7 linked regions of the Nothobranchius furzeri genome follow. The protein of the gene in region 1 interacts with the protein of each later gene in a pairwise test. Links are inferred from orthologs where the notes say so. Each region holds a gene or a part of one and is shown in the gene's direction. Other genes may lie near its edges.

What was found.
Region 2: the proteins of meox2a (region 1) and hat1 interact in binary tests that used the Homo sapiens proteins (3 or more experiments, as listed by UniProt). The two-hybrid records come from large-scale screens. The link is inferred for Nothobranchius furzeri from reciprocal best matches to the Homo sapiens genes MEOX2 and HAT1.
Region 3: the proteins of meox2a (region 1) and rpl15 interact in binary tests that used the Homo sapiens proteins (3 or more experiments, as listed by UniProt). The two-hybrid records come from large-scale screens. The link is inferred for Nothobranchius furzeri from reciprocal best matches to the Homo sapiens genes MEOX2 and RPL15.
Region 4: the proteins of meox2a (region 1) and smad3a interact in binary tests that used the Homo sapiens proteins (3 or more experiments, as listed by UniProt). The two-hybrid records come from large-scale screens. The link is inferred for Nothobranchius furzeri from reciprocal best matches to the Homo sapiens genes MEOX2 and SMAD3.
Region 5: the proteins of meox2a (region 1) and kdm8 interact in a two-hybrid assay, tested with the Homo sapiens proteins (2 studies listed by BioGRID). The two-hybrid records come from large-scale screens. The link is inferred for Nothobranchius furzeri from reciprocal best matches to the Homo sapiens genes MEOX2 and KDM8.
Region 6: the proteins of meox2a (region 1) and prkab2 interact in binary tests that used the Homo sapiens proteins (3 or more experiments, as listed by UniProt). The link is inferred for Nothobranchius furzeri from reciprocal best matches to the Homo sapiens genes MEOX2 and PRKAB2.
Region 7: the proteins of meox2a (region 1) and oit3 interact in binary tests that used the Homo sapiens proteins (3 or more experiments, as listed by UniProt). The two-hybrid records come from large-scale screens. The link is inferred for Nothobranchius furzeri from reciprocal best matches to the Homo sapiens genes MEOX2 and OIT3.

The regions. Positions count from the first base shown.
Region 1 is NC_091745.1:64,687,341-64,691,339, reverse strand, and holds part of meox2a (homeobox protein MOX-2), read left to right. Parts: intron 1-1,729; coding exon 1,730-1,902; intron 1,903-3,999. UniProt on the Homo sapiens protein: Mesodermal transcription factor that plays a key role in somitogenesis and somitogenesis and limb muscle differentiation. Required during limb development for normal appendicular muscle formation and for the normal regulation of myogenic genes.
Region 2 is NC_091754.1:20,781,746-20,785,744, forward strand, and holds part of hat1 (histone acetyltransferase type B catalytic subunit), read left to right. Parts: intron 1-2,628; coding exon 2,629-2,805; intron 2,806-2,881; coding exon 2,882-3,003; intron 3,004-3,548; coding exon 3,549-3,653; intron 3,654-3,999. UniProt on the Homo sapiens protein: Histone acetyltransferase that plays a role in different biological processes including cell cycle progression, glucose metabolism, histone production or DNA damage repair. Coordinates histone production and acetylation via H4 promoter binding.
Region 3 is NC_091751.1:25,419,989-25,423,987, reverse strand, and holds part of rpl15 (large ribosomal subunit protein eL15), read left to right. Parts: intron 1-246; coding exon 247-383; intron 384-3,138; exon of another isoform or gene 3,139-3,496; coding exon of another isoform or gene 3,497-3,999. Other genes in the region: E3 SUMO-protein ligase ZBED1-like, read right to left, coding at 3,497-3,999.
Region 4 is NC_091749.1:43,501,941-43,506,634, forward strand, and holds the start of smad3a (mothers against decapentaplegic homolog 3a), read left to right. Parts: upstream 1-1,538; 5' UTR 1,539-1,764; coding exon 1,765-1,967; intron 1,968-4,694. UniProt on the Homo sapiens protein: Receptor-regulated SMAD (R-SMAD) that is an intracellular signal transducer and transcriptional modulator activated by TGF-beta (transforming growth factor) and activin type 1 receptor kinases.
Region 5 is NC_091745.1:4,851,256-4,855,767, forward strand, and holds the start of kdm8 (lysine-specific demethylase 8), read left to right. Parts: upstream 1-1,460; 5' UTR 1,461-1,591; intron 1,592-2,683; 5' UTR 2,684-2,706; coding exon 2,707-3,156; intron 3,157-3,362; coding exon 3,363-3,398; intron 3,399-3,830; coding exon 3,831-4,003; intron 4,004-4,512. UniProt on the Homo sapiens protein: Bifunctional enzyme that acts both as an endopeptidase and 2-oxoglutarate-dependent monooxygenase.
Region 6 is NC_091751.1:56,448,577-56,451,539, forward strand, and holds the end of prkab2 (5'-AMP-activated protein kinase subunit beta-2), read left to right. Parts: intron 1-1,079; coding exon 1,080-1,194; intron 1,195-1,267; coding exon 1,268-1,401; intron 1,402-1,505; coding exon 1,506-1,574; intron 1,575-1,692; coding exon 1,693-1,770; 3' UTR 1,771-2,192; downstream 2,193-2,963. UniProt on the Homo sapiens protein: Non-catalytic subunit of AMP-activated protein kinase (AMPK), an energy sensor protein kinase that plays a key role in regulating cellular energy metabolism.
Region 7 is NC_091752.1:15,863,935-15,867,933, forward strand, and holds part of oit3 (oncoprotein-induced transcript 3 protein), read left to right. Parts: coding exon 1-18; intron 19-94; coding exon 95-208; intron 209-3,162; coding exon 3,163-3,285; intron 3,286-3,362; coding exon 3,363-3,485; intron 3,486-3,999.

The DNA.
Region 1 (3,999 bases):
ATAGACTCACCCATCTTGAATCGCCACGGGGACGGCTGTTGTAGGTTTAGCATCCAGGAAACAGCAGAGAACGTCTCAGCTAGTAGAAGCTAACTGTTAGCATTAGCAACTCCACCACATGGCAGAACTCCAAACAGCTTGTGTTATTAGTGGCGATAAAACGTCCATGTCGCAGAGCGAATGGAGTCATTCCTGACGTCTGAAGCTACTTTCTCCTCTGGCTAAATTATCCATGCTGAAACAGGCGCACCGGAGCTTTTTTTCCCCCAGAGTATGACTTACGAAGCGTTCATTTCTACTAAGAAATATGAGTGAAGGACCTCTTGAAAAAAGCAAATATTTCTTTTCACTTGCTCTTATTTTTTTCAAGAGGGTCCCTGTTGAACTTGAGTTCATTAGAGAACCCTGAGCGGCGCTCCCTGTCTGGGTGTATTCTCCCTAAATTATTCCTCCTTTTTTGTGGAGAGATGAAAGTTTCGGCGAGGACCTAATTGCTGTGGTGGAGCGGCGGTGCCATAAAAGCTCGCCGCTCCTTTTAACTCCAGGCCTGGTCTGAAGCGACTGGCTGCATTATACTTTTATTTCTTTTTTACACGTCTGCGTGAACCAGAGGGAGTGGGTCTGAGGACGTGATTCAGTCAGCCACTTGGTTTAAAAATACAGGGGGGGGCAAGGTCAAAGGTGAGCCAGACACAAGCTGCAGGTCAACAAAGGCCGTTTTCCATTTCTTACCCCTTATATGTGAATTCCTGCAGTTTCTGCTTCTGTTTGCTTGCCTTCTGCTCTAAATCTAACTTTTGTAGAGCAGCTCGGTCTCTTCTTCTCGTTGTTTTGCTGCTCTGGAAAAGTCAGGCCCAATAAGACAGAACCAGCAGGCCTCCATTACGTGTGTCTGGCTCAGAGCTGCAGGACTATTTACAGTTTTGTTCGACGCAGACTGGCAGAGTTAAAATTCACGGGACCACAGATGAGTTTCCGTACAATTGCTGCTGCTTTAAGTCCCACGAGCATCTGAATTGTGTCCAGCAGAGCCCACAAGAGCTGCTTTTAACAGGAATCATTTGAAAGGCAAATTAACCATATGTGTTTTCTTTGGAGGGGTTCTGGAAACACGAGGAAAACTGGATTGTTGTAGATTGATGGTGATGAAGCAGGAATTTGTTATTTCTCTCCTGCAAGTGTACAATCTGTTTTTGTCTTGACTTTAGTCCTTTTTCTCTAGTCTGGGATTGTTTTCCTTTCCACACACATCTAAATATAACTTTTATGATGCCAATATATTTACTGACTTTGGGAACTCAGTGATAAATAGCTGGAAGGGACAGAAAATGATGATTTTTCAGCTTTTCTGAGACTTTTGCTCCCCGTCTGGTGAAGTCAAAGCAGCAAATATCTTTTCAAACTCAGACAAATTAAATCCATGCTGGTCGTGTAAAAGCCGGCGTATTGTCCCGACACAGCTGCTGCAGTCAGACACACATGTGCTGCCGCCCATGAGTCCTTCCACCCACTTAAAGTATTCATAAACAACGACTGAACAATAAAACGTGACTGACAGCTCTGATTGTTTCTCTTAACTTTGCCGTTTCTTTCTCACCCTTGCAGCCGCACCTGCCGCAAAGCCTTTGCCTTGGTGTTTTTCATTTGTTTTTTATTTGATTCTTCTATTTTTGCTGCATATAAATCTGCCCCTGAGCACAGCAGAAACCTGTGTGGTGTTTGGTTTCAGAGTCCCAGGACGGGAATTACAAGCCAGACGTGAGCAGCAAGCCCAGGAAGGAGCGGACAGCATTCACCAAGGAGCAAATCCGAGAGCTGGAGGCTGAGTTCGCCCACCACAACTACCTGACCCGGCTACGGCGCTACGAGATCGCCGTCAACCTCGACCTCACTGAAAGACAAGTATGTTCCCGTGAGCTGCAGGTTGCCCCCGCCCCCAGGGTTTAGGCGTAGCTGAACCCTCCATTACCACATTAAGGCCATGTTGGGAAAACAGAAGCACCCTCGGAACTTTGAGGAGACTTTTCACTCGCTACCGTGTTTTGGCAACTTTGCTATGAGGGGTTATTGTGCTCCAGATGTGGCGGTGTCAGAGGACTATCATATTCCAGATGTTCCTGTCTATTCTTTCAGGGCCAGCCTGCAGTCACGACAGGGAGACGGGCCGGAGGAAGCGCTGTCTAGCAGGCCACTTCCTCTCTCACGCGACCTGTGCAGCTACAAATTGGTCTCCAAGCGTGGGACGCTCGCTTTCAAACGCAGGCAGACGAAATAAATAACAGGAGACAAATGGACGGAGGTGGGGGGGGGGGGGGGGGGGGGCGTAATGCTGGTTGATCTATGACACCTCTTTGGAAGCCGTACCTCAAAAGTAATTGACACCACGCCAGTGATTTTTGTACCATAGAGAATTGACAAAGAGTTTGGAAATGCTTCTGGAGTTTCAGGTGCTGCCTGAGAGTTTGATACCTCGCACACATTCAGGCAAAACAATATAAAAAGACAGGCCAAGACGCTTGCTCAAAAGCCTTTTGAGTCAGAAATACTTTTTATGGTTGTTTTTTGAAGATTAGGTTTACAGATGCCACTGCCAGCTATTGTTCTGCAGCAGAAATGTTTGCAACAGCTGCACCAATATACAAAAGAACAGACAGAAAGTCTTTATTGCAGCAGAATCACATAAACTCCCACAGCACAGTGGGTCTGTGAATGGTGCGGTCTTCCAAGAAGCCAACAAAACAAAACCTGTAGGGAAGATCAGTGACAGTTAGGATAGATGAAAACCAAAAACCTCACTTTTCTTGGATTGTAAACATGTTTCCTATAGGATTCCCACAATCTGCCAGCTTTTACAACGCTAAATCTACTAATGCTATAACATTTTGATTCACCCAATCACAAAAATAAAGACACACAGGGATTGAAGCAGTTAAAACATGATCCAGTATACTGTTGAATAATCTGAAGCTTATTTCAATTTCCAAAGAAGGCGTTTAAAGAGAAACTAAACAGTTTTGGCTTGCTTTTAGCACCCCCTAGTGCTTGTTAGTAAAAACCGAAAGTAAAACTTATCTCCTCGCTGTGCGTTTGTCTTTTTAACTCTTCATTTAACAGCTGAAATGTCTCACCAGCCTTACAAGAACAGTTCATCACTAAATTAAACAAATCAGCTGTGTTCATGATCTAAAACATACAGGAAACATGCTGGAAGCAGACTGCAGTGCCAGGCGCGCCAGCTCCACTTTACTAAGTCCAAAAGAGAGCGGCCTGCCACTCTGAAGTTGAAAGAGTGGTATCCTGGCCACTAGGGATGTAAGAAAATATCAAAATGGCAATACATTGTGATATTTCATCCTGTGATATTTAAAAGCCTTGTATCAAAATTTAGGAAGAATTAACATGCAAACATTTGTGTATTTTCTTTTCTTTTGGTGCAATTCAAACACCGACTGCTAGTTGGCATCAGTGTGCAATGGGTTTTGTTTTCCCCATTGAAATGTAATTCCCTCTATTATGGTTCCGATACCTCATGTTAAACATGTTAAGTATCAGTTCGGACTGTTTATTGATTTTTCCTACCATAAATTCAGTTTTAAAAATTCGCTAATATCGTCTGGCTGAATGCATCGCAATATATATCGTATCGTATCATCTCCCCTGTATCGTGATACGTATTGCATCACCAGAATGTCACCATTACACATCCCTAGCTACAGAGAGCAGTGGGTTCTGAGTGACTTTTCATTAACCCTGTAAAGGGTCATTTTAGCACATACTGGCTCAAGAAAATAATTTAAAAATATGAAAAAGTTACAAAATATCCCTTTAAACAATAAGCTAAAGTTTAGACTGAGGCCTAGTCCACACGTAGCTGGTTTTTTTTAAACGAATATCCGCCCCTCCAAAAACTTGCATCCACACCACCTCGTTTAAAAAAAAAACTCTGTCCACACGTACCCGGATAAATACGTTGTTAAGGACATGCCAGACCTGTAGGCG
Region 2 (3,999 bases), on another chromosome or scaffold:
AGACACGGCTCCCAGAGTCGGCTCTGTTGGGTTAACCAGAGTGAGTGACACACTCCGTACCTGCGGGCTCCTGAGCCGCTAAAAACTGCTAAATGTGCGCGTGCGGCGCGCTAAACACACGTGCAGGTTGCTCCTGATTGCTGTGAGACTGGGTTGGGGTGTGTGTGTGCAGCTGTGGTTGGGACAATTATTACATTAACTGATGGACTTGTAAATAAATAGTTTATAAATAAGGTAGAAATAGATAGAAATAAGTTCCTCACACTGATAACTAATCTCTCTGAGGACACGGTGCTAGTGCACGCTCCTACAGCACCTTGACACGACTAAATAAATGCTATGCAACATTTAGTGAACAGCAATTTGCATGTATTTGTTATAAATGCCACTGTATAATTCTTGCTGTCAGTATTTGCAAGATATTGGTATTTGGGTCTGTACTGGTTAGACTTAAATGAGTTAAACCAAGGTTTATAGCCCTTGGGTCATAGACTATGAGCTATAAGTATATTGGTCTTTTTATACTGGGAATCAGGAGTTATTTTAGTGACTGATTGTGCCCTGAGCAGTTTTATGACTGAATAAAAACAAATAAAATCAACATAAATTGAAAAATCATCTTAAATAATCGAGATCTCAATTTCAGTCACAACAATCGTGATTATTATTTTTGCCATAATCGAGCAGCCCTACCTAATACATAGGCATATAAAATGATGCTCTTAAAAAAAAGTTCAGCAAAGGACCCAGTCCATCGTTGACGGTCGATTAATTTGTCCACTCGCCCAGCATAAGAGTGTCTGTGTGACAGGTTGTAAATATGGTGGATGGCCTGTGTCTACACGAGCTCTGGCACTTCACTTGGTGCAAAGAAATCTCTTTTTTTCTTCAACTTGTCAGTTTTTGGTGTTGAAGAAACAAAACAGTTTTTTGGCTTGAAATTTTGCTCTCAAATAAGCTCATAATTCTGCTGGATGTAAACACAAATTAGCCAAACAAACGGTGTCTGGAAGCAAATCTACAGCGAATAAGATATTTACGACTATTATACTGAATTATTTTTCTAAATGTCCCTTAATTAGATTTAGAAAAAGGACATAAATACATCAACAAACAGCACTTTATTAAACATGAAAAGAGCCGCTCCTCTTCTTTGGGCAGCACAGCTTAGAGCCAACAATGAACCCGAAACGCAGTGTCAGTGTGCACCACTGCTCAGAGTTGACCGTTGACCCCATGAGTGTGGGTTCACCTTGTTAAGGGTTTGAGTGCAGCTGTCGGGCAGGCAGAGCGGCACAGTTCGGGCTTCGTCTGAAGAGCGTTTGTCTCTGAGTGCGTGTGGACGGTCGTGGTGCGGTGCAGCTGGCGAAGGGATGACGGGAGGCCGAGCTGGAGTTGATGCAGCTGCTACATTCATGCACGACGGCGACCAGAACTCACCTTCTCCTCTTTAAATTGGGCAAAAACACCACAATGCTGGACGTTTTCCAGAAAACCCAATTAGTTGATTGTTTTTAGTTTGTTTGAGCTACAAACTTGTAGTTTAATTCATCATTTTTGCACAGATTTAACCTGAAGAGTTTAAACTTACAAGCTCTAAGACGGCCCTTATAGTTGATTGAAGAGTTAAAAAAAACACAAATTAGACAACTAACAACTAATTAGATAGTTTATGCTTATTGTTGGAAAATCAAAGACATCAACTGACTGCTGCCAAGGAGCATTGTTGAGTTATATTCACGGCAAAGTGAAGCATCCATTCTGGAAGGCCATGCAATTCAGCATCTAGTATGCAGGAGAGTGGTTGGGACAAAGCGACTTGTTTGTCCATGGCCTTTTAAGTGTGGTCCTTGTTCTCCAGAAATGTGGCTGAACAATTACAATAGTTAAGAGGCATTCAGCTGCAGGTGCATTACTTCCAGTTAGATATTAGCTGATGTCTGAAAGGGGGGAATTAGCAGTATGTTGTATTAGCCTTTTGTAGTGCATTTTGCTCAGACCTTCTTCATTTCCCAGTTTTCAATGCGGAGCAGTGAGGGTCTCTGTGCTCCCATAATGCCCATCACACATGTAAATGGTGTGAAAGGGCTGCTTAGCAAAGTGTTCTCATGTCAATCCTTGTGGAAATGGATACAATGCAAACATTACAGCTGAACTAACCACACGTTCTACCGAGTAAAAAGTCCAGGGGAAGGGCCCCTTTGTCTCCGAGGCCCTTTGAAAAACGCGGGGGCCAGATTCATTTGATTGGGTTCACTTGGCAGGATTAGAGGAGAGGCCTCTTATTATGGATGCCCAAAGGTTTGTTAAGCTGAAATCAATTCATAAGATTTTTTTTTCTTCTCAGTGAGAAGCAGAAATGTGTTTATTGAGGCAACTTCATCACATATTCATGGTTCAATCTAAGTGGTAAATGTACAGATTTAAGTGGCCTTGTCGGGGTGGGGAGGTGCCGAGGACTTTGCTCAGCTGACAGTTTTAATTGCCTAATGGTTTTCTTTTCAGCGTCTCTAAAAACGTGTGCTTTGAGTTTTTTTTTGCCGCTTTGGCCAAACAAAAAACAGAAAGACTAAAATTTCCTGCTGGTGTTTTCAAGTTAATGAGTCCAGCTTTATTGTTTTCATCCAGCCGGATGATGTCGGAGGGAAAATCCGGGAAATAATCCCAGCTGGTTTCACCTCCAGCACGGATGACTTCATCTCGCTGTTGGAGAAGGAGGCCAAGTTCAAGCCCTTCGGCACCCTGCTTCACTCGTACACGATCCACAATGAGGAGGCCGGAGAACTCACCTACCAGATTCACAAGGTACGCGCAAACCACGCTCATAATCTCACCAACTCATCAGAGGAAGACGTAAACGGTTTTATTAAACTGGGCCCAGGCTGACATCACCTGCCCTGGATTCCAAGAGTACCACGAGCGCCTGCAGACCTTCCTCATGTGGTTCATCGAGACCGCCAGCTTCATCGACACAGACGACGATCGTTGGGACTACTTTCTCGTGTGAGTAGCCTCCTTAATTGACACTAACCCCCCAGCTTTACCCTTAAAGCCTTTTATTGTGTCATTGAAAAACAAAGCCCCCCTTTGAGGCGCTTGTGACCAATTACCAGGCCGGTTTGATTATATTTCCCCATGTAGGAGAATTGTTGATCAGGCAAGAGCTTTCTTTGTGCCCAGAGCCCCTTTCAGATTTTTCTGGGGCAAGAGTTGAATTGAATACTGTTGTCTTTTGAAACACTGAACAATGTCCTAACAGTAAAAAGAGCCTCTGCCAGTGTTTTCTTTACCCTGGCACTTATTAATAGTCACAATAGGCAAAATGGACTGAAGTGATGTTGAGGAGCTCAAACCCTCCTCCAAGCCCTTCTCTTCCTCTAAGTTGCAGTACTCCAATTAAGTGCATAATGTATTCATGTTGTAGCAGGTGTACCAATCGGGCCCTGGCTGCTCCTGACGAGGGGGGCACGAGAACAGAGAAGCTAAAACGGACACTGCATGGGAGTGTGCCTGTAATTGACCTGTTTGCCTTTGTGTTTCATCTGCAGATTTGAAAAGTACAATAAAGACGGGGAGACTCTCTACGCAACTGTTGGCTACATGACCGTTTATAATTACTACGTGTACCCAGACAAAACCAGACCACGTGTAAGGTAATTGCTGGGGCAGCACGTGCCTTCCCATTCTTTTGTATAAGAAAAGGAGTGGAAAATTATACATTTCTTTATCCCTTTTCCCCCCAAAAGCCCAAATTACTGGCTTATATAGCCAACCATTGAAGCAGATTTTGTTTCAGAACCAAACCGGGCTGATTTGTATCTGAAAACAACTGTATAGATAAGCCTTTGATGTGATTTGATTCGTTGCATGGATGAATCGGTGCGGCGGTCTATTATTTGCTGCTTTCAATCAAGACTTTCTCTGCTCCTACTAATAACAACAACTTACATCATTGAAATGTGTGTTACACTCTTGAACACGCTGCTTTCCCCTCATCTG
Region 3 (3,999 bases), on another chromosome or scaffold:
GATTTCTTTTTGATGAACCTTTTTAAGGGTCTTTTGTAAAGCCACGTTTGGTGCACAAAGATTCTCACCTGGACTGAAACCATCCTTACGGTATCTGTACTATTAAAGCCCACAGGATTCCCTGGTTTAGTGAAAGCTGCTCGTTGTCTTCTGTAGGAGTGAACCAACAGCTTTGATCCCAGGTCTTATTGGGTCTAGGGTTTATCTTTATTTGTGCAGCCCTTGATGAGATTTTGTGTTCAACAGGCTATGTCATCTACCGTGTTCGAGTGCGTCGAGGTGGCCGTAAACGCCCCGTTCCCAAGGGGGCGACCTACGGCAAACCAGTGCACCACGGCGTGAATCAGCTCAAGTTCGCCCGCAGTTTGCAGTCAACTGCTGAGGTACGCGAGTCTTGTCTTCATCAGCAGATGTTTGGTTCATGTCTAAGAAGTTTGGAGTTTTATTTGTGGTGTTGGGTCTTTATAGCCTAGTGAACTAGACCAAATTCTTGCTTTGCAAAGAATGGTCTAGGCATGCTCCATTGGAACCTCAGCAGCTCCTACCAGGACTCTGGCTAGCCAATCACAGCTCTAAAGGGGTTTCAAACACATAAAGAGCTGTGATTGGTCCATAATGGTGGGCCAATCATAGTGCTCAATCTGCTTAGTGAACAAATCACAGAGCTTTATCCGCTTTGTGGGCAAATCAGGGCACTCTATATGCCTGGTGGGTGGGATGATGCAACAGAGTGAAACAAGAGTATGTCACATTCATTGTCCAGTGGAATGCGGAGATCATTTGAAAGACAACAGTAGAACCCGCCCCACAACCGAGAGCCGTCAATGGAGCATGGCCAGACTAAATAATACATTTATTTAGTCTGGCTTGCCAGGCTAGGGTCTTTACACAGTTCAGATTGGATTACCATTACAAGTAGTGCTGCCACGATGAGTCAGTTTGTCACGATGACCAACAAAATGGTCGACAATAAATTGAATAAGCAACATTGTATAAAAAATGTTACTTTTTTTATCTTGCCTGCTGCGTTTCTGCTGGGGGCACGCACGCAGTAGTGGCCGTCCGGGTCAGCCGCTGCGTCATCGGAAAAACGGGATTTTGGGGAGATGCCAGCGTAGCTCAAAAGTTTAGGAGCATTTTACAAAGATTAAAGAAGCATGTACAGCGCAAAATTAGCAAAGTAGAACCCTCCTTTCACTGGAGCTCAATGGCGATGCACAAACACCTTAAAAGGAAGCTCATCTTGGCAGAGGAGGAAGATTAGTGATGGGTACTTTGACATTTGAATCTATGGTACCAATTTTTGATACTTTTGAGTGTTTAATAATTATTTAAATAGCTTTTAAAATTAAAAATATACTTTTTGCCCAATAAATAACCACATTTGATAAATACCATAACAGACAACAGTTTGTATTTTGTCATCGTAGTGTTGTACAAATGTCTTAAAAATCAAAACCTTTAACTGTTTCTAAACGATGCAAAAACAAACCCAGCTCCATGTACTCATCATGTTCTATGCCCTCTAAAATAACTGATGAGGAGACCATGCATTATAAACTACAAATAAAACTAAAGCAAACTTCAATACCATGCAACAGTTTGTATTTTAATATTGTGGAGTTTGACAAACTAAACCCAGCTTCATGTACTTTTCCTCCCTTCTCTGAACAAATTGTGATGGTGGGTCCTTGTAGTTTAAACTGCTAATTACACTGAAGTAAACATCTTTGCTGTGAACCATATTTACTGTGTATCTTCATTCCTTTTGCCATTCATTTTCAAACTGTTTATTTTTCCTACTCTAAAGCTGGAATTTCCAAGGAGATGGCGAACACACCATCAGATATGTAAACAAAAACCAAACTATCAAGCTAACGTTCTTGGACTGTTTATTCTGCTGCTGGAGCAGATTAAGATGACTCATACTAACTTAGGTCGTTGTCGCTGGTTTCATCACCCAGTTACCCATCCCATTTAGTGAGGTGAACCCAAACTTCAGAACGCTTCGTCTCTGCCATGCTGCTCTGTTCACAGCTCGCCCAGAGTGACTGACGACATTACGCTCTTGCTCCGGCGCGTAGCATGGGTATCAAAAAAAGGCAAAAAATGACACAAGTCAGTACTTGGTCGGTACTATGGAATTCAGTCTTTGCCTTTTAAAAGTACTGAATTCAGTACCCATCTCTAAAAAAGATGGAACAGTCACTTCTGTAAGCTAATTACCTCTTGTTAGCTTCTAACAGCCATAGCAATAATAGTAGTGGTGACTATTTCATTACCACACGTAACGTTACAAACACTAATTTATTGTGTCCCTCTACGTTAGTCTTAAAAAACAGAACTCTTCTTCAGTGGACAAGTTTGCTACTAAGTGAAGAACACGCACACCTCGGCAAGCTAATGTTCTGAATGAGGCAGTCTTAAACATGTTGGTGACAGGAATGAGACCCCTGTTGTTAAGCTATCATCTTGTCTTTATTTTTAGATGGCACATAACGGATCATACTTGAAACTAGAAATGATGGGTATATTATAGCAGCTGCATCCTGGTAAAATAAGTAATGCTTAATGCGTGACACCATTTGTTGACTAATCGTCAAACATGATTAGTCCATAGTTAAAATGTTTGTGGCAGCCCTAATTAAAATATACATAGCTTCTTGCTCTTTGGGATTTTCTCTTTTTAGGTGAAATTATAGTTGATGCTGATTGTAGCAAGGTTCTGTTTTAATACAGCTCCAGTGGTCTCTAGTAGGAATGAATCTCTTGTAAGGACAGATCAGAATCTGTTTTTGCCGCAAGCCGCTTTTTGGACACGTGAATTTCAACAGTCAACATAGGGCTAGACAGGAAATCACACACGGTTTAAGTATCCCCAGTAATTTTCAAAATAAGTCAAATGCAGCGATGCAGTTTCATGTAGATTAAGTCAATACGATTGACATAAAGGCTCATTTACTCCCTGCATCATTCCAGAAGCGCAGTGGTGTGGTTTTCATGGCTTTAATCCTGGCTAGGGCTGGGCGATTTTGCCCCCCAAAAAAATCTTCGATTTTTGAAGAAAAATTCGAGTTTCGATTCGATTTTCGATTTTTTTCCCCAATGCACTTAAAAAATGGCTGCAGACATCAGATATAGTGTCAAAAGTGCAACTTTATTGCTATGATTGTCCTCAAGAGTTAAACTGCGTAGAATCCCAAAACAAAAAGTAAATGAGGCTCTGTCATTCAACAATTTCAAGCTTTAACCCAGGTTTAAACAAAAGTGCAACAGCTTCACAGTAGCTTAAATTTTCTGTTCAAGAAAACACATTAATAAAAATTTTGTAACATAAAATTACCAAAAAAATAAAAATCTCAGTATAGTGTGAATACAAAAATGAAACAAGCCTGTGGCAGACATATAGCCTGCTCAAAGAATGAACAAATCTGTAAACGTTTATAACAACAAAATATGTGCTTGTTAGATCTCTGAAAAACTGTGCATGCTCATTCTAAACATTTTTTGCAAGAAAGATGAGCCTGTCCACAACATCTGGCTTAAGGCAGGCCCGGTTGCAGGTAACTATTCCTCCACCTACACTAAATACTCTCTCTGAGGGGGCACTAGTGGCTGGAACAGAAAGATATTTTTTAGCCAGTAAGCTTAGTCTTGGAAAGTTGGGCTGATGAAGCTTCCACCATTCAAGAGGATCTGTGTCTGGCTCAATGTCTGGAATAAGTAAATACGTCGCAAGCTCAGTCTCAATTTTTGTTTTCTCAGATTGTGGGTGTAGCGTGGTGGATGGTGCAGATTTTTTAAAGAAGGCACCAAGAGTCATTTTCTTTTTTGGCGGGGTGTTCTCTTGAACAGCTGAGGGACCAGCTTCCTCTGTGGTAGAGTTGCAGAGAGCAGAGATCTCAGACACCGCTCTTTTTTTGACAACTTCCAGTTTGCTTGCATCAATGTAGGTTGTACGGAACCTCGGGTCTAAAAGTGTGGCCATGTCCAAAAGTT
Region 4 (4,694 bases), on another chromosome or scaffold:
CGTTAAAACAATGAGTTTATTTTTCCTAACTCAGCACATGTAGAGTGAACTTCTTTTGGCTGATATAAAAATAAACACTGGTCAACCAGAATAGATGAAAGGAAAGGCATTTGTCCTGCTGGACCTTAAGTATTTTTAGCACAAACTAAGCTCTGTGTGCTGTGGAGAGGGGCTGCTGGACACAAGTCAGTGCTCCTGTACACGCATACCAAAACCACAAGTCAATGCTACTATTTTAATAAGGCTATGATCTGAAAGCAGAGGCAATTGATCCGCATGCCTGATGATCACAAGTCCCATTTGTGCTCTTGGTACAGACATTATTCCTCTTTTCTGAGTGATAAAAACCCACAGAGGACCACCTTCTTCGTTGAAATGCATTTATGGCTACCCACTATCACTGTCTGAGCTCAGCTCTACTCCACACTCAGTCGTACATCTGGCACTTGACTCTTTGACATTCAGTGCATGAAGGAGGGGGTGTTTATGCATATGAGAGTGTGTGCATGTGCTTGACTATAGCTGTAATTTAAAGGCTGAACCAAGCAATAAACTAAATTGCCACCTTGAGGAGTAGCAGCACTCATCTGAAGGCCTAACAAGCCGAGGCAAGAAAGTGTGCAAACTCATGCATGCGTGCAGCTACTTCTATTACCTTCTGTCTTACAGCAGCTCCAGTGTTATTCAGTCGTGTGAAGGTAGAACAACCCAGAGAGCATTACTGGAAAGTTCTGTGTTAGAGATCTCAAGCCCCAGGTGTTTACACAACAAACACACACTGGACATATTTTACACTACACCTTAACCTTTAGACACTTGAGCATATGACGATTTCTAAAAACATAACATATGAGCAAAAAATGAATGTATTCTCCTGGTAAATCAGAAAAAAATGTTAGTGTTGAGTGGGAAGAAACAAAAATGTGATATTACAGTTTGAACTGTGTTACATAAAGTTAACTGAGATAAAGTCATTTAAATAAACATCAAAGCTTCTTTGTTCCTCTGAAGAAAAAAACATACATTTTTAAGTGCACTAGTGTGGACAAAAAATAAATAAACTGGTTGGTGTTACATAACTGAATCAAGTGCTGCGTATGACCGCTTTTATAGACCGCAGCAGTTTGCTAGCATGAGGAGAGGCAGTGATTGTGCAACATCAGCACGGCCCCTTTGGCCAGCTGCTGTGACAGAGCTGCTACAGGTCTGCAGCAGTCTGAAGCCTGAATAGAGTCTGAGCAGCAACTCCTGCATTTGCATCTGATGCAGACTTCAAGCAGATTTCAGCCGGCGGACTACACACCGCGGAGGGTTCTGAACTTCACAAAACTTTGCGCTTCGAGGATTAGAACAGTCAATAAAACACACCACTAGCGTTACTCCTTTATTTTTTAACGTTTTATTCATAGTTTTAAATCGTATTTTAATTCAGGTTGGAGTTATTTAAATAACATTTGCTTGAGTAGGTGCAGACGGACTAGTTGGTCTTGCGGAGCAGCACTAAATCCACAGCACCAAAGAATACCGGTGCACAATCCGCCGTTTACCTCCTCGAGCCAGGGTAAACGAGTTCGCTAAAACTGAGAAGTTTGGCCCTGGGATGCTCCTGTGTAGCTCTAGATAAAAAACAATAACTTTTTAGCGAAGACTTGCTCTCTTCGTCACTGCGTAGACCGCCACAAAGGTAGTCGTTTTCGTATAACGTCCAGAAGAAAAAAAACCCAGCAGACTTCTCGAGACAGGACGGACTTGACTGAACTCAAGATGTCAATTTTGCCTTTCACTCCCCCCATCGTCAAAAGACTTTTGGGCTGGAAGAAGGGAGAGCAGAACGGCCAGGAGGAGAAGTGGTGCGAAAAGGCGGTGAAAAGTCTAGTGAAGAAGCTGAAGAAGACGGGACAGCTGGATGAACTGGAGAAAGCCATCACCACGCAGAATATCAACACAAAATGCATCACCATACCGAGGTAAGGAGAGCTAGCAGGTTGGTTTGATGCTGACCGTAAAGTTAGCATCTCACGCGCTGTTTTATCCGTTTATTACAGCTTTATAACAAATTATACCAATCTGCCACTGCTTTTACTGTCTATTGCACGTTAAAGGCACCACTTCTTGTGTGAGAAGCAAATATTTCCAGATATTTTCTCGCGTTAATATTTCAAACTCAGTTATTTAGCGTTTATTAAACATCAAAGTTTTAGCTAAGGAAACAGTTCACCAGCTAATCTGTAAATTACGGCTCAAATGTATTATTGTCTGTTATCTATGTGTCATCATATTGCTATTTTGCACTTCAAGTGAATTGAAACAACTCCTAGCAGCTTGGTATGACCCAGATTATGTTGTCAAAAACACGTTTTAAGCATAACGAGCCAATAGCACACATGCAATGTGCACTGGTAGTTATATAACTTGGCCTTAATCTGGAACGTTTTCTAGCGTTGTTAGTGCGTAGGCGAGTCTAGATGGGCTCTCTATCTTCTCTCAATGCCTCTATACAGACATATATCAGCATTTTTATTTAATACAAGTAAATCCACTGCAGGTTACTATGTGTAACAGGTGCTTTCATAGCGTGGGCAGAATTGGAGGCAATGCAACAGCAAACACGAGAAAATATGTAAAAAAAAAACGCAAATAAAGGTGTTTATCATTTGACAAAATATATTAGAGACAAAAATGCTCTCATGGGATGAAAAGTTAACATTTAACACTCTAAATTAATTAATTCAAACGATCTCCTTGGAACAGTAAATAATTCAGCTGTGTTTGGTTTTCAGTGGTCAGATGAATAAATTATGAATAGTGGTTTGGCTTATTGATTTCATTTTTTTTCTCTGCAAGGAGGAGGGAAACATAGCTGTCAGCTGGATTAATAAATGCCATTTTTAGCTCTGACAATTCTAAAGGCTGTATTATTTAACCATCAGTGTGTGCACTTTGGGATGAAACAGTGCTTCACGATTACTGATGGCAACTTTTTCATTAGGTAACAAGTTGGTATTCACTGAACCAAGCAGGAGTAATGTGCAAACGGCCAAGAAGCAAACCGCTAATGAAAAATGCTTAAAAATTTTAAAAGATTTTACCATCTTAAGGTGGCAACGTGTAGTTTCCTGGTGCCAGGGGGCAGTACATACATTTCAGGGTAGTTTTACACCATATTGCTGTGACTGTCGCTAGTTAAAAAAAAAAAACATTACCGTAAATGTTGTTACCTGTGGAACAGAAAGCATGCAACCTTGGCGTGTCTCCTCAAACTTTGATTGTTCTTCAGGTATTTCCATAGAGAGAATGCAATGCAGATGCTAATTTTCTGGTGCTGTACTTTCCAGAGCTGCTCAGGGGTCCTGCGCTTGCCAATGATGTAGTGGTGGGCAGTATAAACTATATAAGGTAGAAACGATATAAAATTGGGTAATGATAGAGTTTTTGGCTCTATCATGGTAACACATGGTGTCAATAAATGTGCACTCTCCCTGACATTGGGACAACAGAATGGCAGTGACTGCAAGTATGGAGAGGGCAGAGGAGGAGGAGCATTCTACTTTTTGGACGTCTTTATTCTGCTGCAATATATTTGCCAAATGTGGATTTTTAAAAGCATGTCATTTTGACATATATTAACAGAGGAAAAAATACATCGCAATAAATATTGTTATTGCACATGCTTCAGATTATATCAGAATATATATTTTAGGCCATATTGCCCAGCCCTACGTCATCATACTACGAAAATACCGTTCAGCCAAATATATATTGCATCTCTTTTTCAATTCTGTTCTCTCACATAGGTTTTGGAAAAAGTTTAGCAGTTTTGTTATTAAATTATTGTTTCTCACTGCCAAGATATTTTTGAATGTGGTAACGTAACTTCTGTAGGTTGTACGCTTAGCCAATCATCTAGTGTGATATCATCGACAGGCACAAGCTTGCGAGCCCTCCAGAAGGAAACTTGGCATCTAATATGGCGTCCTCCAAAGATTTTTGACCTGCACACAATGCAGTTTACACTCAATTTTTATGGTTATATGGTACAATGCTGCCAATATTTTTCAACAACTGGACATCATTTAATTTATTTTCAACATTGTTTTGATGGATATTTACAGAGATTAATGGTATAAACTACACATTGCCTCTTTAAAGTAACTGATAATTGTATTTATTGTTGTTTGTAGCATCCTTTCTTTATATTTGTTAATCTGAGGGAGTTATTAATCTAGTTTTGACTTTTGTTCCAAGCAGTCACTTGATTTATTGCCAGCAAATTGGACACATTATACATTAGTCAAAATGATTATGAACTGTATCTGTAAATCAAAGTATTCTAAACATCAGAATCACTTTTAACTCCTCTGCACGTGTGATCTTGTAACTAATTTATTCTGGCCCCGCATCATCACAAGTTCAGCTTTTTTTTTTTTTTTTTTGTGCTGGCGCTGCTGTAATAAGTGAATTTCCCTACTGTGGGATCCACAAAGTCTATTCTATTCTATTTATTCACAGTGATTCTTCACAACTATTTCATATTGTTAGACCTTCAGTCTATTTTCTTGTGTTTTTTAATTATTGGTAAATAAGAAGCCCAAATCTTTTCTTATGACTTGCATGTGTGTGTCATTCAGATTTAATAGCATACTGTGTCAGATGAAATCTGAATCCCTAACAGGGCACTCCCACATTCTTATTGG
Region 5 (4,512 bases), about 60 Mb from region 1:
TAAAACAGAATAGACTTCATAAATCCCACAGTGGGGAAATTCACTCGTTAGACCAGCACATTCATTTGGTAGTTTAAAAGTTCTTTTAAATATTGACACCCCCCGCCCCCAAATAACAGTTTTTACTTATTTTAGATTCCAATCAAGTGTCCTCAAACAATAAAAACAGTTCTAGCACAAGAATCCAATGTTGTCTTTAGGGGCCGGAGTCCTGTGAGGGTGTGCAAAGATTGCCTCTTAATTTGATGTCATTTAGCTGATATTACATGCTGTTTATCTGCATTTCTACTACATTCATGACCAGATTCATTTCCCCATTCCATTAGCAGTTGCAAAAGCATAAAAAAAATCAATCACACAGCTTTTTTCGCCATCACATAGGCATTTCCCACCTTCATGGAAGTAAGTGAACAATAGACTGAGCCACAAGGATTCTGCTGTTTACACAGTCAGAGTGAACAGAGATGCTTGAAACATCTTAAAATCCCCTGTGATTCCAGGAAAGGCAGCACGTCACTCAGCCCCGTCTGCTTTACATACAAGAACAGCTCTGCGCTTTCCACTGAGATTATTTGAATTTCACAGAATGTTTGACATTTGATAATAGTGCTGAGAGTTTAGAGATTCCACACTTCCACTGCTGAAGGTTTTCCTTTCCTGTCGTGTTTGTTCAGGCCAGCTCCCTGCAAAAGAAGAGAGAGAGAGAGAGAGAGAGAGAGAGAGAGAGAGAGAGAGAGAGAGAGAGAGAGAGAGAGAGAGAGAGAGAGAGAGATGAAAAACCCAGAAACCCGAATGTGACATCAAAAAGACAAACCAGATTATTGTTTTAGCTTCATGTGAGCAGACACAAATCAGTAAGCCCTCTAGGGATAGGTGTATTTACACAACATACAATCATGAACAGCAGGAGCTATGAAAGGAGAGAGAGCGAGAGAGAGAGAGAGAGAGAGAGGGGGGGGGGACGGACAATGTCAGTTCTGCCATCATTTATCATGACAAGAGTTTTCTCAACGCAGCACAGGGATCAGACAATCTGGTCCACCTGTTGTTGAAACAGATGTAGATGACTTGACGTGTATTTAAATGAGGCTTTGTTAAACTCATTTTGCTCAGCTTCAACCGGTTTAATAACAGAGAGCTCAGAGGAGAGATGAACGAACTTCTGAGCTGCAACAAGACTAAGATGTGGACAAATGTGAGTGTGTGGGAGTGTGATGTGGGAGAGTGTATAGATAGTAGGAAACTGCCCACACATGAAAAACAAGTGTGTGATTTCAGTTTGTAGCAGTCCAGCTTGGATTTCCACTTACAGTACCCTCTGCTGGACCAGACGGTGAATTAATGCTTTTTCTGTGTCAAAATCAAAGACTTAACATACCATGATCATTGAAACTCTTCGGTTTGTGATAAAACTGGATTTTATGATTAATCATCCCTATTTTTGGAGCCATTTCACAGTTTTGACAACACCTACTAAAAAGTGGAACTGATATTTCCTGCAGCTCCGGTTCCCTTCCGGTGTGTTTTTGTTGTCCCACCGCTAGCTGCAGCCGTGTTAGCGTGGCTAGCGATGTAAATAAAGACAAAACAGGTAAATAGTCGTTTTTACTTTGCTTTTTACTAAACAACTGTTCTGATTTTAAGCTGGGGTTTATTTTAAGGTGCGGCGCCTTCAAAATAAACTAAAGTGGCTTTTTATATTTGCAACATTGTTTAAAAAAAGTATAAATGCATTACAACGTTCACAACGCGTTAGCTGATTGTAAAAAGTTGTTTTACCTTTAAGGAGATTTGAGTTTTTTGAGTAGAAGTTTGGTCACATTAAAAAGTTTTTAATTGATTACGTAATATACTTGTCTTAAAGTCAGGGAGATTTGGCAACAAAAGCCTTTTAAAGAGCTCAAAGCGAATTGTGTCTACATGTCTGCAGTTGTTTAACATTTTGTTTAAAAGATGAAGGTAACTTTTGTTTACCAGAGGAATTTCAGAAATATTTTGTGTAATTTTTAAATGCCAGCTCTATGTTAATGTTTTCCTCTTTTTCTGTTTGGCTCGAGTGTTTCATCTATTGGCATTTCTGTCTCTGGGAACTGCTGCAGGGCTGCACCACCCTTTAGACATGTGATATATTAACTAAAAAAAATCTTAATTTTGGAACAATCTAGCATGCATTTGCGTTCACGTGGTTGGGATTTTCTATTTTCAAAAGAGTCAGGTGCACAAAGTTGGCTGCCTCAAGCCTTGGCAGCACCTCCAGCATCACAGAGCAGCATCCAAACATGGATGGAGTCACACAAAGACAGGGCTGGCACTTCCAGAGAGCGCCGTCATTGTGCATGTGTCACACGACCAGTTCTGGCTCAGGATGTCCTCACCTGTGTCTGCCAGTTTGGAAATTAGGAGCAGACTTCTGTTTTCATGCAGCAGAGAGAGATTTTTCATTAATGAAATAAACAAGAATCCAGTGTATGTGTGTGGTGGTGGGTAGGGATTGCAGATTGGGCCACTGATGAGCCCAGCATGCAGCCAAGCATGCATGTGATTACATTCCAGCCCATACCTCTGAAAAGTGTTGGCTTTAATCCAAGTTAGACTTTCCATACAGTTTAGCTACAACTTTAGCTTAACACTGCATTCTAACATTTTGCGATGCTTTGGCACTTCTTGTTTCTTCATTCTACAGAATACAGGAGGACCTAGTTGTCAATGGAATCCTTGTGGTCAAAACTCTCAGCTGCTCTACCGATTAATGAGGAACAGTTCCCTCTGCAGTTCAGTGACAAAGTGGAGTCGAGTGTGGTGGAAATGCTGACGAGATCCAGACACCAACTGTACAGCACCACAAGAAGCAACAACCAAACTCTTTATGCTCAAGTCGTTTTGGACATTTCATGGGAGAGACTCAACACCGGAACATGGCGTGATGTGGACAAGGACTGGAGGCGACTTTACTCCTATGGCTGCCTGTTTAAAGTGGCCGCTTTATGTCGAGAAAGTCCATCAGAGCACGAGATCCTTCAGGCTGTCAGGACGTGTGACATGGGTTTACTCATGGGCGCGGCCGTCATGGATAATATACTCCAGGTTTTTGTTCGGATTCTGCAAAGTGAAATAAGAAAAACCACTAAAGAAGAAACGGACTATGTTGAAGCCAAGGTCAGCTGGCCAATTTATTTTATCCTTTAAATTAGCAAATGTTCAAGTAAGTTAGAGGAACGTGTTTTATGTGGTGTTGTTGTGAAACTCTTGATTTACATTATAATCAAAAGTTCAAGGCTGATGTTGTGGAATAGACTGTAGAAAAGTTATTTTTTATAAAAAGTATCTCCCTTCTTGCCCTTCATCTGGGTGCACCTCATCAGATGTCACTGAAGATGAAGTGCCACACATTCTCAAAGGTCAGATCACTTTGTTTAGACGGGGGTTGGCTGCTGCTTCTGTTTTTTTTTTTTTTGTTTGTTTTTTTACTTGATTATACATTTTTAGTCTGTGCCCTGAAAATGTCAACCTAAAACTGTTGAAGCATCCAAAGAATCTGTGAGTAATTCTTTACAAAGCAGGGCTGTGATGGCTATTTATCATTTTTCTATACCGGCTGTTTTAATCTGGTCTTTAAAATGTCACAAACATGTTATTAATAACAGTTGTATGTTCATATGTTTCCTTTTTGTTTCGCCAAGTGTCCGTTTGAAACAAATTGAACTTTTATATTTGGTAAAGGAAGTCAACACACCCTCATAAAGACCCTAAAAGTTTAAAACTAGGTCATTTTTATTATTAGACTGAAAATGACCCCCCCCCCCCCCATTTATTTCTGTCGTCATTACCAGAGAATGAAGATTGTGGTCCCACGTGTTCCTCCAATCAAAGAAGAGTTGGCGGTGGAGAGGATTAAGTGTCCTTCTCTGGAAAGCTTCAATACAAAGTACTTGGTTCCTCTCAAGCCGGTGATTTTAGAAGGGATAATCGACCACTGGCCCGCCCTCAACAACCGTCCCTGGAGGTTTGTCTCATCAGAATACATTCTCCTTCAGCTGAATGTTGTTATTCCCTGTTATGTGGCTCGTTAGCATGTTTATTTCTACGTGACAATCACCATGTTCCTTTATAGTCCGCATGTTAAAACACTCGGGAGTAGTAAAGCAAGTTTGACTACAAGAGTCTTACTCTGTCAGAATGAGCTTTTCAGAGTTAACAAAACCCTCCGGCGATGTGGAATATAACAGCCCCACTTCCATTCAGTCCAGCCGTGTAATCAGACTGATCTGCTCTTGTGACAATAGCTAAGTGCACTTTTCCAGCTGAGAGGACAGAAAGCTGGAGGACTCTCAAAGGGACAGCTGACATGTAACATACAGATTTCCAGTTATTGTGGTTTATTTAACGATCTAAGTTTTGGGTTTTTTCCTTCATAGTGATGGCCCAGGTTGATTAGCTCACCCAGACACCCTCGTCTTCTCGTTTTCATTCTTAGTTCTGACTCAAAACTCTTGGGTTCTGTTTCTCATCCAA
Region 6 (2,963 bases), on another chromosome or scaffold:
TGTGTTGTAAAGCACCTTGGGGGGGGTCCCAGGACTCTAGAAGGCGCTATATAAAATACAGGCCGTTTTCCATTTTCCTGTTAGTTCGTTTGCTTCTTGTTTTTAACAAAAGACACGACAGATTTATTTGTGCTCGGCATCAGTTCGGTGTGGAGACACCAACCCCCAGTCAGAGTAAATAACAGCCTGTAGACCATTAACTGGAAAGTTTGCAGAGGTGGCTCCGAACAATGTAGTGCAGCTTAAACCAGATACAAAGCAGAAACTAAAAATAGAGATGGGTAGGTTCCTGAAGTAAAAGGAACTTCACTCTCATCAGTGATCTGAAACCAAAAATCACTGATTTTATTGTGTAACAGGATTCACGTCTTTTCCTCTCACACCATCTGAAAGGTAAAGTTGGTGAGTAATAAAAGAGAGTACGGTATGAATAATTTAAGTGGAAGGAAAATTGACTTGCTGTTGAGACGAGGAGCCACTTTAACCATGAGATGATTCGCCAGAGCATTTGAGGTTTGTTGTCTCATCCCACGCTGACAAGATGAATGAGCTGCTGGGAAAATCGATAGCAGCAATCGCCTGCTGGCTGATGCACAGCCTGGAGTCGAACACGTCATAAAACAACTATGTTTAACTGTCAGATTGTGAATGCAGCTTCTCCGCTGGATCATAGCGGGAGCCTTCAGCCTGGTTTAAATGATGTGCTGGGAAACAGCAAGTCTAGCTTTTTTTTTATCTCCTCGGTCGAGCGAGTAAATGTGAAAATAAATACAACAAAATAGTCGCTAAAACAGGTAAACAGGATTCATTAAAGTACGTCGGTCTCCTTCTGCAACTAAATCCACAACATTTCACCCTGCTCTCCATTAAAAATAAAAATTATTGCTTTTTTTGACTCATTATTTTATTATTTTATTTGCCGGAGTCACAAAAGCCACCATTACATCATATATGATAAGTGAAAGGAAGCCCATGTTTGGTATTTTCCTGCAAAATTGTTCACATGCTCATCAGGACCTGCTTCCACTCATGCAGTTTGTGTTGATCATCACCAACTGGGTCGTTGTTTTGTCTTGCAGCCGGTGGTAACGAGTCAACTCGGCACCATTAACAACCTGATCCAGGTGAAGAAGTCAGACTTTGAGGTGTTTGACGCTCTGCAGGTCGACTCTCTGGAGTGCTCCGACACATCAGGTGAGATCCGCTGTGACTCCTTATTTGGGTTAGCAGGGTGTCATCAGTCAAAGTGTGAACTGTTTTGTTCTAGATCTGTCCAGCTCCCCTCCAGGCCCGTACGGACAGGAGCAGTACATCTTTAGACCCGAGGAGCACTTCAAAGCCCCTCCGATTCTCCCTCCTCACCTGCTTCAAGTCATTCTCAACAAGGACACTAATGTATCTGTCAGTGTCTCCATCATCATCGGTCTACTTTGAATTCTAGCTGAATACTTTCAATGTCCTTTCTAAATTTGCCACTGATCATATTTCCTTTCACCCTGCTCTAGTGTGACCCTGCCCTGCTGCCTGAACCCAACCACGTGATGTTAAATCACCTTTATGCTCTTTCCATAAAGGTAGGTGCACTGGAAGCTGAAGTCTGCCTCACGTTGTTCAGACGTGGCAGGTAGAACGTGAAATATTGCATCGTTTTCTGATATAAATTCTTAAATCTCATTATTTTTGTTTGTGTAGGATGGAGTCATGGTGCTGAGTGCTACTCACAGATATAAAAAGAAATACGTCACTTCTCTGCTTTACAAGCCCATCTAAGCCTCCACTCATGGGCTCTTTAAGAGCAGCTTGTTTGTATTCTGCTATTTAGTGTTTGCTTTACCAGCGTTTGTGGTCACCTTCAGGCAAATCTTGCACTGATACACGTTTACAAGTGGGTTACACACACAGGGTGTGCACTTCTGTCTACATAGGGCTTTATTCAAAAGTAGCCAAGTGCATCTGTGGCAGTGAGAGGGATTCAAACTCAAATGTGGCTTTCACTAACACGGCATACTACGAATGCAAAAACAATAGTTTATTTTTGTGCAGGTACTGTATATCAGTCTTTTTTTTTTTTTTTTTAATCAGGTAGAGGAGTTTGAATGTGTCTAGGATTTTTCAGCAGTTTTGATTTTTGGGAACTGTTGTGTCTAGAGATGCACTGAATGAGGGGATTTTCAAGAATGTTTTTGCAAAAACTCAAAATTACGTATCTTTAAAATGTATATGTTGAGAAAAGAGGTAAAAGTTGAAGTAAACGAGGTTTTTAAAGTAAAAAAGAGACTTAATTTCTCCTTATTTGTCACTTTTGTGCTATTGAAAGCTGTAGATGTTTGAGATGACATGAGTAGGTCAAGAGTATTAAATAAGTCCGAATCAAACTTCAGCGCATCTCTAGATGTGCAAGCGTGTAACATTTCTTTCCATTTATTTATTTGCTTGCATGCAGATCAAGAATACGTTTTGACCTGCAGCGACACATTCTGTATTGTCTGACCTTGAAGTGCAAAAACGTGCCATTAAAAAGAAAAATCTAAACCCTGCGTAGTGATGATCACTGGCCGAGGGGATTTTCTAACCTGAGCTGAGATCATGTCTGATGTATCTGAACAGAAACCTTCATCCAGGTGAATCTGTTCGGTTTCTGTTCATGAGCACTTTACCGTCCTGTGTGCAGGAGCGACAGTGTAAGGTTTGAACTATGCAGCAGCTGACAGCTCCATTAGCTTCTTGGATTAAATTTAGATTTTTTTTAAATTTAATTAGCTTGGTTCCTTTTATATGTTTGTTTTCAGCAGGTAGTCAAACATGAATGTACTGCCTCTGTTTAAATGTCTGCAGCCTGCAGTACAGATGTTTGTAGAAAACAGGTCTTTGATGACACGATTAAATGTAGTCTGTTCACTTGAGTGTTCCTTAATATTTAAGCTGTTCAGTATTTTTTTATATATTATTAGTGTGTATTATTA
Region 7 (3,999 bases), on another chromosome or scaffold:
TCCATGTTTACTGTGGCCGTGAGTTTCAAGGCAAACCTTTAGAATAAGGTTTATCGTTTTGTTTTCCTGATGTTGTGTGTTTCGTGTTGCACAGATTTCTACGACATCTGTGATGAGGTTGAATGCATGGGTCCCAGATGTCCCGATGTGCCTGAATGCCGCTGTGGTCCTGGAACGGTCCTGGGTCCAGACAGACAAACATGTCTGGGTGAGTCAAGCGTGTGGGGGTGGGAATACATGAGGATCATGCATTTAAAGTCCCATCCACATCCGTTAGTGTTAACTTGATGTAACAGAATTATATCATTCTTTGTGCAAATGCACTTTACTTTTTCTTTTATATTTCTGTCAGGAGTCAAATTTGACTCACTTTCATTTAGATAATAACCAAATGTGCGTATGAAAAAATGGTGTTCGAGACATCATGGTAATATTTTTCTAACTGCTTTGCAGAAAGCACAAGATTAGTGATGGTGGATTTATCTTTTAGGTAGTTTAGACTGGATTTTATATATTGAAGCTTCTTCATGATCTCATGTCGTGTCACTTTGAGGCAGCAGTTTTTTTTTGTTTGCCAACTGGGACAGCAGTAGCTCAGGAGGTAGAGTGGGTTGTCTACAATAGGAAAGTCGCAGGTTCAATCCCAGCTCTGACCAGAAAACGCTGCCATTGTGTTCTTGGGCAAGATACTTAACCTGCCTTGGACCGTGGTCGAAGGGTCTGGTGGCGCCAGTGTTCAGCAGGCCTCACCTCTGTCAGTGCGCCCCAGGGCGGCTGTGGCTGCATAGTAACTCACCATTTTGTGAATGGGTGGATGACTGATTGTGTTGTAAAGGGACTTGAGGGGTTGTAGAACCCTAAGGTGCTATACAAGTACAGGCCACTTTAATTTCTTGTAGATGCTTTTTGTTGAAACATAAGTGCTTAAATTTGAAAGAAAATTATACGACTTCTTATATTGTCATTTTTACTTGATTTATTTTTATTTTTTTAAACAACAATATCATGCAAACTGTTTTTCCCCCAAAAGCCCAACATTAAATTGTGTAAAATTTGTACTTTAGTAACATCTAATACGTTTCCAACAACTCTGCCGCAGCCCACTGTAGCTATAGGGCTAACTATGAGTTAATGCTAACACGAGCCAACTGATAGTAAATAAGCTCTGAAATAGAAAGATCCACACTGTTGGACACATACATATTATTGCCTACAAGTCCAGTAGCAACAAAGCCAGGTCACCATCAGTCCATGATTTCATAATGTCCTCCAGCTCCCTCAACTGAGTGTAGGCCACGCTGATGTTCACTCTGGTTTTAGCTCTTTGCTTTAACTCCAAAGTCAGTACTCTTACTTTTATCCACCCATCCGTCCCAGCAAAATTCTTCTTCTCGCCAAACTGAAAAAGCTAACTGCCAGCCTTTGTAATAGCTACCTGCACAGTAAACAGCTGTTGGCATAAAGCAGATAGAAACCTCCCACTAGTTTTTCTACCCAAATCACAAAACTATTAAGTGCAGTTTCTGGTCAGCAGAGGGCGACAGTGGGCTGTGCAATGTGAAGTTGATCAAGTTTATGGCTCAAGAATCACTGGAACCAGTTTAGAAGCAATAGCTTGAAGTGTTAAAACCAACTTAATGTTGCTTTTTGAAAGCGGCTTTACTAAGGGTTCAAATGAGCTGGCACAGATATGATATCCCAAAAACATTACATCTTCCTTCATGTTACGACCCATTTAGTTTTAAAAGTCAGACTTTTCATGCCCAGGAGGATTTACCCAGTGCTGAAGTGATCGACACAACAAACTACCTTGTGCTGCCTTCCTCACCTGGAAGCCTACAGCTGTTTTATTTCAGGTTAATATTTTAGTGATCCGGAGAAGCTTTAAACAACGGTCGTCTGAATGAGTTGTGCTTTTTCAGTTCATTAGCTCATGATGATACAGGGCTGCCAGCTCTTATGCATTGAGCGTGCCACACACACATTTGACCCCATCACACGCTCTCACGTCACACCTCCAATATCTCACATCAAAGAATACCCCCCCCCCCCAAACTCGAACATATTAAAAGTTCGAAAGTTGGCAGCCCTGTGATGAAAATGCTATTGCTAATTCTAATGATCAGTATGTGCTAATATTTACTTGTGACTAACTTTTAATGCCTTTTTAAATCCAAATTTCTGGTATGTTTGCAGGGCAGCCAACTCTCACGCCTTTGACTCTCCACACGCTCTCACGCCACACCTCCAATATCTCACGCTGACTATTCAAACCTCTACCCCACCCCCCACCCACTCTGACGGTCAGTAAACAGGGTGAAACGGTCCGCGCACCCCCACACCCCCTCCACGCCTCTCACGTATTTAAATGTTCGCAGGGAAAATTGCGTATTTTGATGCCCCTTCTGATTGGTTGTGAGAAGCTACAGTAACCTACACCAGGTGTTTTTTTAGTCCAAGCAGAAATGCCCTGCGGCTAGCTGAACCCAGCTGAAAAACTCTGCCCTACATTTGAATTAAAATCTGCCATCGCTATTGGCTAAGAGGTACACTATGACATTAGCTGGTAACATATGATGTCACGATGCCGTTGCGAGCCTTAGTGTGTGTGTATTTGTTAGTGGCTCCACCCTCTCTATCTACCAGGCAACAGCATTTGTTACGTTTTTCAAACAGGAAGTGGGAGTGGAGTAAAATTCTGGTAGGGGTGACTTGCTCTTTAAAGTTCAGAGCTATTACGACTTACTCATTATGCAGACATCGGCATGTTTGGCAGATGCATTATGGGAACGTTCTTCACTGGTGAGCTCAAACTTGAGCCAAGGCATTCAGATCTTGTCTATTTCAAGGTGAACACATTTTAGGTGTAAAATGAAATGAAAATAAATCAACGTTAATTTCTCTGGTGTTCATCCTCACTTTCTCCATTCTATCTTTTGCCCCCTACTCTTATTTCATCCATCATCATTTTCTTACCAGTCCTCTTAGTATTATAAACTTCATTTAAAGGTCCTTTGGAGTCCATCTATCATCCCTCAACCCTGAAAATGGAAGGAACTTGCCTGGAGGTGATAAACTCCTCCCATGTGCTGCTCAGTGGATTCAAACCAGACTCATCTGATGACCATATCTGACAAGACGTTGCTTGTGTCCTGTGTCCAGATGTAAATGAATGTGATAAAGACAATGGCGGCTGTGCAGAGGTGTGTGTGAACACCAAAGGCTCCAGGCATTGTGAGTGTGGGCGGGGTCGGACTCTGGGTGAAGATGGACACAACTGTAGAGGTAGATGCTGCACACAGATAATTAAACAGGGAGTCATTATGCATTTAATTCCCTTCATCGTGTGCTGCCTCTCGCAGAGACTGCAGGTTGTCACGTCAACAACGGAGGCTGTAGCCATGGCTGCTCCTCGCTGCAGGACTCCTATCAGTGCTTCTGTCCCAGAGGGCTGGAGCTGGGAGAGGATAAACACACTTGCCAGGGTGTGTATATGTGTGTGAGAACAAGGAAGCTTGAAAGAGAGGCACTTTCATTTATCTCCAAATGTGTTCCAGTGCAAAAATGTACTTCCCAAGGCCATAATAGGTAAATTAAATATTTCACAGTGTTGTCATTTATTATGATTAATAAACAGCCCACTCTAAAGAAGATTTGTGAGGAACCATCACCTAACCTCATTTACAGTTTGAGATGTGCAGGTTAATTTCCTATTTACCTTCTGGCAGGCTATACAATAGACAATAGAGGTAAGAAAATTAGGATTTTCTTGACAGTTCTGCTCAGATGTGTTGTCTACCTGCATTATTAGAATAATTTCCATTAATTCCTGCTCAGTGACCTAAATGGTTCAATGATTATTGTCATTTTTATGGGATTTAAGTACAATGACACTGAGGATTTTCCATGTACATTTTGCCATCATTATGTGAAAAGTAGCTGGAGTCAGGGATGCTATTAAGTAGAGGACAAAAACCAGCTCAGTGAATAATCTCTGGC